Drosophila melanogaster: one gene and its partner. The protein of the gene in region 1 interacts with the protein of each later gene in a pairwise test. Each region holds a gene or a part of one and is shown in the gene's direction. Other genes may lie near its edges.

Region 1 (5,707 bases):
TGATTTAATCTTAGAAGTTAGTGATATATGTAGAAATTAGTTGAGTATTTCCGGATCAAAGCTCCAAAATATTAATGTATGTTTTTTTTTTTTTGAAATTAATCGCGTTTTACTCATTGAAATATTATTCAACCCTCGAGAAAACTTATAAACAACAAAAGCACATTCTTGTGACTCATTTTTGCTCGCTTATTCAGCACGACAACGAATACATAATCTATTAGTTCTGGGATCACAATACTTATAAGGTAAGTATCTCAATACCTATAAAGTGGGTTTTCAATCAGACATTAGATTATAATTATTATAATGTCTTTGGGTCAGTGAACTTTCAAAAGTGTTGGACAAGGACGGCGGAAAGAAAGAGAGGGATAGGTATTCCCACGCTAAATGGTACAACAATAACAAGATGTGACAACCACCAAGGCCTGATAAGCAAAGCACGGACACAAAAACAAAATGTTTAAAAATGATGTGGAGCAAATGTGGAACAAATACGAAGTAGTGGGGAAGAATTGGAAGGGTGACACACATGAAAAAGTGTTGGTAGCCACATGATAAATCAAATTTGATAAGATAAGAAAAGCTAAATAAAACAATTATCCAAACACACACCTTTGACCAACTTAAGGTATGCCCGCTGGGGTGTGACTTGGACAGCCTGATCACTGGTTTCGTAGTCCTTTAGGGGCTTATCCTGAAGGACATCTAGGACCGGCTGGTTCTCGTATATATCCGTTTCACTGCAGTTGTAGTTAAGTAGTTGCCGGCGAGAGAGACAACGATATCCCACCTGGTATTCCTGATATGCAACCAAATAGGAAAATGATTGACTTCGCAAGGATGACAGCAGCAGTAGGAACCGTTTATGTTTTCTTGCCATCTCCCTCGTACTCACCTTGTCCGTGCACCAAGCGCATTCCAGATGAGCGGATAAACATCTTTCGCAGCTGTCTGCGTGCCTGCACTGATCATCTGCGTAAAAGAGATGGCGATAACAAATCCGTTATGTCACGTCAAAGCTGCCGGCTAACAAACCAATTGAATCTGCATCCGAATGAGAGATCTCAGCTATTAGAAAAACCAAATATATCCACAAGAACGCCCTTCCGCCCAGTGACGTCATTTTCAAAATGCGTGCAATTTTCACTACCAACGATCACATATATTTTTTTTGCTAAGGGAGCTAGCGACCGTTCGGCCTTAGAAGTCCAGCGTAACTAATATTTGTTCAGTACGAAAAACGTTGATTGCTCCGCTCGTATCTTATCAGGAGAGAGTGACAAAAAATGTGAGAAGTTATTGGGAAAATGATGTGATTAGAATAAATGGCACTCTTAAAAATAAATGAGAGTAATAAGTGATAATAAAAGAAAGCAAATTTCATTCACGTGTTGTCTAACTCACTACATTTTAAGACATAAAAAATGCACTGCTATCGTTCTTATGTTTTGTTTAAATAAATATTAGTGTTTGGAAAGTATATACATAATATATGTATATTTATTTGGAGATCCATTTCTTTATTTATTTAGATATCATATTTAGTCACAATCAAAACCTTAAAGTATACTTTTATGTCTAGTTGTTTTAAAAATTCCATCCCATTAGAAATATATTATAGACCAGCTCCCATTTAATGGTAGAGAAGGGGTTACATATTTGTACTTTAAATATGTGGAGCCACAAGTTTTGTAGCCGTCAGAGCTTGTAAGGGACCGAAAATACTAAAATAAACCAAGACGAATTCATATGAAAGAGTCTAAAGCAAACAACAACAAACCAACAGCTACACATAAGCAAAACTATACAAATTTAATAAAAAAAATTTTGTTCATTTAGTGCAAGTCTTCTCTTAGAAAAATTTGTATTAAATAACACAATGAATAGGACTATCGGTTGGCATAATGTTAGTCTTGTGTTTTTCAGATTGCTTTTATGATTTTAAACGTAAAATAGAATTTAAATTATTTAATATATAAGTCAGAATAACGATTTTATTAGGAAATTACTGGTCACACTGTTAGGCTCAATTTGTCAAAACTGGTCTTAAGTTAGTGCTCTCTTACTCTCTTCGGGCGGTATAATTCTCCAGCCGAGCCATGGTCTTACTATCCTGTGACCAACCCCGCGGAGAAAAAACATTTTTACCATTATGTTGTTGTCCTCTTCTTTCATTTTATGAAATGGCTGTGTGAACAAGAGATGGATGGCGCAGTAGTGTGACCAAAATCGTGGGTAAAAAGACGCAGCAAAATACTGAAACACTCATGAAACGGCCAGTCGGCGAAAAATTTTCAAATCGCGGGGTCGTACAGCGGACGATTTTCAATCGGAACGGTTCAGCTTTGGAGCGGAGCGCGGAGTTTCGCATTTTTTGTGTTTGTAGCGGAAAATCGGATGAAAAACTCCAAATGTTTACCAAATGAGCGGCGACAAATACGCGACCAATTGACGAGATCGTGTGTGTTTTTCTCAATTAAACGGTGAGTGTGCGATAGAGATGGAGATGTAAAGTATGCAGTCAAATTAAAGTGCGGCAAAAAAATCAAAGGTGAAAAAGTCATTAAAAAAGTAAGCAAAATAGAATTGCTCTGTGGAATATAAAAATGTACATATACACATACATACATAAATAAATATATATATATATATGAATATCTGCAAGGAGACGACGCGCAGCGAAAAAGGAATTTTTTGTGTACTACGGCGGCGCTTTGTTGTTGCTGTTGTTGTAGGCGTCGTGCATTTGCTTTTGTTTTGTGTGTTTGGATGTTGTTGCCTTTGCTTTTGCTTTTGTCTATGCTAATCTGTGTTTTTGTGATTGGAAAAATAAGAAAAGAAAGCAGAAAAACTAAGGAAAGGAAAACAGAAACTGAAATTGAATAAGAAAATTGTCCATTTTGGTTTTCCGTGGCAGAGAAAAGTGAAAAGTTTAATTTACTAAACAAAGCGGCTAAACTGTGTGCGTGTGTGTAGGCGGTTGAGTCTACATGTGTTTGTGTGTGTGTGGCTGTGTCTCTCTAGTTTTTGCAATTCCCACTGCACACGCTGTTTCGTGTTGGATTATTGGATTATACCGCCAATAACGGCACACGCACAGCAACAAAAACAACAAAAAAGCGATAGGGGAGAGCAGACGACGCTGGGATTAATCATTAATGTCCTGAGATATAAAGAACAGGACTTCCGAAGAACAAGAACAAGGAGCAGTGTGGAAGAGGACGCAGCAGACTTAGAGACGAAAGCGAGAAAAGGTAAGTTTAAACTTCCAATTCCCCAAGGGTTTTCTATCTATCGTAATATTTAACTTATCGAATAGAAAATTATGTTCTTAGGTTGTTGGTATGAGCAATGACTACTACCTAACTCAATCTACGAAGTACAAAACATTATGAAAAATGAAGCAGATACAAGCTATGTGGAATTATTTCCAGATTGGAGGACTAGCTCCTGACAAGTCATATTTGAACTTTGACAAATAGCTATGTACATATCTATAATCTAGTATATTGTCCATATTCTCCCAGCAAGAGCAATGTGTGTATACTTTTGCCTGTGCCCTTTTTCAGTTATTTTTTGAAAACTGGTTAAATTAAAAAAGAGCTCGTATGCATGCACATTTATATAGTACTCATTTTTTTAAACTATAAAATTCATTGAGGAATTTCCAAACGTCAGAATCCATAATTATTGCAACTTGAATTTAACAGAGTTGTTCCTCATCAATTCGTTCGCTTCACTTAGCCGGGCGCTCATTTTCCAATGAAAATGTATTCTAATGAAGCTTTTCGCGATCCTAATCTGCTGCGCATAAATTTCTTTGGCAACTTTGGGTGATTTATTGCCTGTCGATTGTCGCCGTACTCGTAGTCGCAGGCGCTGCTTTTTGGCCAGTCCCAGAGACTCGGAGCGATTTCAATCCGATCCAAAAAGCGGTCCAAGAGACCCCCGTCCAGAGCGTACAAGACCAGACGGGATTGGACAGGACGGGACGGGACGGGACGGATCGGATCGGAACGGGACAGACTGGTGCCAGCTAATGTACGCGTCTCCCAGATGCCGCGGATTAGATTAAAATTCTCAATTTATGCGTTGCGCCAGTTGCCAATTGCAGTCCACCTTCCAAAGCCTCCTACTCCTCCAATCCAATGTTTGTATGTATATTTATGTACACACATGCATATGTACATATGCAAATGCAAAAAAAAAAAACTTGTCGCGCCTACTAAAATCTTTGCCCGAGGGCTCTGCGATGCCTTCATTCCAGTCTTTTCCGCAGTCTATCATTTGAAATCATGTCCCGGCGATAAGAAATTATAGTGGCCCGGTCATAATTTACGTGATTTGCCTGCCTAATGTCCTGCCGCATGACACGAGGACAAAGCGGGAACCATAAAACCAAGGAAGAATTCACATTTGGAGGCTGTTCCAAATGAGGAGGAATTAGGGCAGGCAGTTGGGGTCCCGGGAAGATTAGTAGTTGCAGCTAAATGGATTATTAATGCTTAACTTGGCGAACGAAATACGGGAGGCATTTATAAAATTAAAAAGTTATAATAACAATATTACGTTTGAAGCCTAATCCTATCAAATGTCTTATATATCTTTTTACATTCAAATGCGAAGCTTAAATTGACAGCATTAATATTGATAAGGAATCTCTGGAAGTGTTGCCAAACAACAGAGTGAGCATAGTTTGCTTATATTAACTATAATATATAAAATGTACTTATGCACTCTTTTACATCCTTGCCCATGGAAAACGCTAGTGCATTGTTTTTCAACCCCTTAACCTACGGTAGACCTATTATTTTCCCGGTGCCCTGTCCAGTTTTCCCTGGGGAATGGCACTCTAGGTGCACGAGTTAAGTCCGTGATCGAGGGTGGAGCCTTTTGTGAAGATATGATGTGTAAATGTATGAAGGTTTTTAAGTTTCAGCAGATAGTTGTAGTGTGAAGATTTCCAATAAAGAATACGACTGACTTTCTTGAAGTTCAAAATCAGTGTGTAGTTTATTGTCAGAAAGTGGCTACTCGAATCCTCCGTTTTCATCTTATACATAAGTACATAGGTTCTTAATTGTAAGCATAATGAACATGCCGACTCGGCATGTGGCTGGCTAGCTGGGGACAATGTTGCAGTGCGACTTTTGAGTAATGTCAGCATTCGGCCGGATGCGGTGTTCCAGTTGCCGTCTTCCCGGTTGAGTGTCCGATGATTTGTTTAGAGGCGTGGGGGTTTAGGGGGTGGGGTGGTAACTCCTCCCCCCCCAGTTCGAAGTGACGGCCATAGCGAAGGTATGGATGACGCGTAGATTGGTACGTGATGATCCTCGTGGATGTGGACGATGTGTTTCGTTCGTCGGTGCAGCCATAAGATGACTGCTAGGAACGTTACCAATCCGAGCAGAGTGTAGAGTGTCCAGGTGTGCTGTATAGTATTGTGATGGACGGCCAGGATTTTATCCATTGTTTGGGTGGCTTCGAGGTGCAGTTTTTCTAGGCTTAGTACCGTAATAGTGGTATTCCTAGTTACTTTTCGCATGGGGGGAAGATCAAAATCCGTCTGTTCAGGGAACGTGTCAACCGTGCCGTCGTAATCGATACCGTTAATCTGTATTGTTTCGTTAATGTATCTGATGATGGCTGACCCCATTATTGAGAGCTCGGAGCCGTTTGTTAGGGATACCTTCAGTTTGTTCAC
Region 2 (4,513 bases), on another chromosome or scaffold:
TAGTTTTTGTAAATTTCTTTTTTAATATTAGACTCACTTTCGCAACATACTAGTTTATTTATTTTTAATTTTTGTTTGTTTTGTTTTTCGTGGGAGCACCAGTTGCCTTCTTCCTTACGTTCTTTCATTGCTGTTTTACTTTTCGCATATTACTTGTGTTCCGGGGAGTCGGGGGAAAGGCTTAAGGGTTTGGGCAGTGGTGGCTTATGGGTATAGGATTGGGTTTCTTGGGGGTCACACGGATGAGGATGAGCCATTGCACTATCAATATTCTCGTTCATCCCTATTCTGGTCAACAATGCCGACGTCCAGCAAATGCAGCAACAATGTGAGAAGTTTGGTTGTTAATTTCTTTTGATCGGCAGTTGGCCAGCGTTAAAAGGAGTAGACGTCGTCGGCGTCCTCCTCCTCCCTCCGCCCGCCGACGCGCCTTCAGGTGGTGTCGTTGCCAAGGCCGTTCTTCTGGTCCAGCTTATTCGAGCCCATCTTCACCATGTACACGAAGAATGTGATGATCTCCTTCTCCTTGATGGGTATTGTCTTGAAGTGTTTCATAATTGTCTGCGGGAGAAGAGTAGAGGTTTGCAACTTGATTAAAACAGGGTTTAGAAAACCTTATAAAGGGCATGGCACATTTTTCTGCCTTTTCTTTAGAGTGGAGGCTACTACAAGAGGGCCAACTATGGAGCATCACGGAGCACATTAGACCAGCGTGTTACCCCACTGAAATCCGGCAACAGAAAGTGGACATAGCCTGCTCAATTCGTTAACTAGGTCAAACTTACATCCGCCAGCTGCGCCCGCTTCATGCCCTGCCTCGTTTGGACCTTGAAGTGGCGCTTGTAGCGTCGCAGCGTGCTCACGCCCAGCTGGTAGAGATCGGGGAACTCGTGCAGGTCCGTGTCCGTCTCGTTGCTGTCGTCCTCGCTGTCCTTGCGCCGACGCTTGGTGCGCACCGACTGGATGCGCTCCTTGTGGTGGTCACAGATGTAAATGTGCTGCGCGGCCGGATCGCTGCTGAGCTTGAGCCGCTTTTGGGCCACCGTCTTCTGGATGCGCTTGGAGTAGCTGGCGTAGCCAGCCTGGTTGCGACACCGCTCCATGTCGTCGATTAGGCAGCACGTTTGGTCCGTGTGCCCGCGACTGTCCTCCTCGCCGGTGCTGAATCCGTTGTTCATCCTGTTCCCGATCCTGGCCGATTGCTTTCGAGTTCCTATCCAATCCCCCTTCCTGCTCTGCTTGCTGCTTCTCTGATTTTCTCCGTTTCGCTCCTTTGTCTCCTCTTTCGTCTTTCTCACTTTCGACTATTGCTTTGCTTTGTTTCTCTTTGCAAGAAAAAAATTTTCTTTCGACAGCGCGATGTGACCAAACTGGGAAATGGGGAAATTCCTCCGCAGCTGGCAAGAGCGGACAATTTGAAACTGTTTGCAGTTTCTCAAATATCTTAAATATCAAGTGCATTTTTTTCCAGATTATCGATCAATATTTTTTAATTGGTATTAATAATCGCACAAAATATTAATTAAATAAATATTAGTTAATTTCAGTACTTAAATTTAAAAATACCGTGTACCAAAATATAGTTACCTTTTCCAGCATTGATTCCAATTCCGATAGGTACCGCACACCGGTACGATAGTTGAGCCAATTACCGTTTTTGTCATCACTAGCTCACGTTAGTGCAATGAAATTTGAATTTCCTTTTTCTCAGGCGTATCTGACTGCTTGTCTATATAGAATATTATTATACTCGTCTTCAGACCAATTCTTGATTGTAGTTTCTGAGACGGGGGACTAACAAGCATATATTTGTTAAATGCATCGACGCAAGGAATTTTCACCGTAGTGAGTTGGAGAATTAAACAGAATCATTCAAAAAGACTGGGAAAAGGAATACGCAGAATTTTCTGCAAATAAACAACGGGGTTACTGCAAACTTTTCCCAGGCACATTAAAAAAAATCTTAGCTATAACGTATGTGACAATTATATTTTGAATAAATGAATAATAATGTGACCAATGTAACGTTTTCGATAACGTATCGTACATCTTATTCAGTTGTTGCAGTACAACACTGCTAGGCAGCAATTTCCAGCCCTGGAAAAATACCAAAAAATCTACCATCTCTCCAAAAACGAAATCATAAACGCTTACCAGGGACATCATCGATTTTCTACACCAAATTAAAAGAAACCTATAAGTTATAGATTTGCTACACCAAATTGAAATAAAATCAATCTCTTCAACCTTAAGTCCTTGGCTATTTCCACGTACACGAGTGTGGCCAAATAATTCCACGACATTTGCGGATGTCGCGGTAACCTAAAACACAAAAAAAAAAGAGATTGCAATATTTCGGAGATAAAAACCCTCAAAAATGCCGCCTGGAACGCAAATTGCCAGCGACAGCGATATGGAGACCGCTCTGGAGGAGTTCAAGCAGCGCCAGGGACGCCGCAACAGCATCGGCTCGGCCAAGTACGCGTGCAGCATGCCCAAATGCGAGGCCACATTCAAGCGGCTGGACCAATTGGATCGCCATGAGTATCATCACACAGGGATTGTGAGTATAGTTAGAGTATGTTAAGTGTAAGCCAGTAGTAACGCCGCCACCACTTTGCAGAAGAAGCACGCCTGCTCGTACGAGGGTTGCGACAAGACGTACTCGATTGTGACGCACTTAAAGAGGCATCTGCGCAGCACCCACGAGCGTCCGGAGTCGGCGGCCAAGAAGACGGTGAAGTGCGCGCTGGAGGAGTGCAGCAAGATGTTCATCTCGGTTAGCAACATGACCCGCCACATGCGCGAAACCCACGAGAGCCCAAAGGTCTATCCGTGCAGCCAGTGCAGTGCCAAATTCTCGCAAAAGCTCAAGCTGAAGCGCCACGAGATCAGGGAGCACACGCTGGAGTATCCGTACAGCTGCTCGAAGTGCTCGCGCGGCTTCTACCAGCAGTGGCAGTGCCAGAGTCACGAGCCCAGCTGCAAGCTGTACGAGTGTCCCGGCTGCCCGCTGCAGTTCGACAAATGGACGTTGTATACGAAGCATTGTCGCGACTCGTTGCACGGCAAGAATCGCCATAAGTGCGACCGCTGCGATAGTGCCTTCGACAAGCCGAGCGAACTGAAGCGTCACCTCGAGGTGAAGCACAAGGAGGCGGCGCAGACGGATGAGTGCGCCACCTCCTTCACCTGCAACGAGGAGGGATGCGGCAAGAGTTACTCGTACCTCAGGAATCTACGCCAGCACATGCTCACCGCCCACTCGGGCAGGCGTTTCGAGTGCCAGGCCTTGGACTGCGGCCGCTGTTTCAGCAGTGCGCAGAATCTGGCGAGACATCTGCTCAGGGATCACAAAGATGGTGCGACGAAAAAGGAATTGAAAGCCAAGAAGAAGGACAAGAGTAAGACTGGAGAAGGGGGCAAAACTAAGTCCACATCCCGCAAGCGACGACGCGATGCTGGACGCAGCAAACATTCGAGGCTATCCAAACTGGCCTGCCTGCAATTGGACAAGGAAGATGATGAGGCGGTGCGCGAGCGACAGCCTTTGGTCCTCGAAAAGATCACCCAGTCGCTGAAGGATGACCCCGTCGAGGAGCTGCTGGCACAGACCCTGCAGGATGAAGAGGAAAAGGAGCAGGAGTAGAGCAAAAGGCCATTCAAAGGGACGGGAGTGAGAAGGTCTGGTCAAGAGGCTAACAATTGAATGACTACTTTAATTTAAACCACAACTTCTAAAAGAGAAACAACTAATTTATCAGTAAATACTTAGGATTTGCGTTCAGAAACATCCGAAATTGCATTAATTTGCATAAATTAGTAAGCTATTATTAGTAGTATTCGCCTGGAGCGAATTAGTTTATTTACTTTAAGCTTACAGTTGCAAACATTCCCTGACTTCAACTAGAGTTCCGAAACTCTCGGGCATCCAGAGAGAAAACCAATAATATCCATTGTGTATATACGCGCAAAACTAAATAAAATAAACTCCTCTAAGTAAAAATAAGAACAATATGAACCTCTGACATAGTTCTTTTGTCTGTTTCTATTTTATTAAACAATCTTCTAAAACCAAAAAAAATGCTTAATGCGCGTGGACGCGATGGCGATGGAGGACTGCAGGAGTGCGGATCGATTGCATACGAGTGCCAATTCAGGTGGCTACAGCGAGTTGATGATCTTCCGGCTTCGCATCTGCTCCATCCAGCTCTCGTACTGCTGCTCCGGCGTCTGCGGCTCCTGGTAGTAGTGCTGCGGCGGCTCGCCCTCCTCCAGGCGCACGAAGTAGTGGCAGTGCTTGTACTCCACTTTGCCGAAGCGACCGCGAGCATGCCGCCTCACGCCCTTGAAGACGCGTCCCTTGCCCACGAAGGATTCGGCTGGTAGGTAAGAACAGACAAAGATTCATCAATATAATGGTTAGTGATGAAGAAACTAATGATAATCCATCATTCATAGTGGATACATAGATTCCTTGTGCCCCTGCGGCTCACCTATCCACAGATTGCTC

Evidence for each region.
Region 2: the proteins of CG42238 (region 1) and CG9609 interact in a two-hybrid assay, tested with the Drosophila melanogaster proteins (one large-scale study listed by BioGRID).

Annotation. Positions count from the first base shown.
Region 1 is NT_033779.5:21,048,553-21,054,259, reverse strand, and holds the start of CG42238 (uncharacterized protein), read left to right. Parts: upstream 1-2,276; 5' UTR 2,277-2,400; coding exon 2,401-2,486; intron 2,487-2,837; exon of another isoform or gene 2,838-3,257; intron 3,258-5,707. Other genes in the region: Itgbn (integrin betanu subunit), read right to left, coding at 616-802, 899-975, 1,039-1,126.
Region 2 is NC_004354.4:16,784,615-16,789,127, reverse strand, and holds CG9609 (uncharacterized protein), read left to right. Parts: upstream 1-2,119; 5' UTR 2,120-2,377; coding exon 2,378-2,563; intron 2,564-2,623; coding exon 2,624-3,649; 3' UTR 3,650-4,013; downstream 4,014-4,513. Other genes in the region: Sap30 (SIN3-associated polypeptide 30), read right to left, coding at 433-561, 786-1,178; mRpL22 (mitochondrial ribosomal protein L22), read right to left, coding at 4,165-4,382, 4,497-4,513.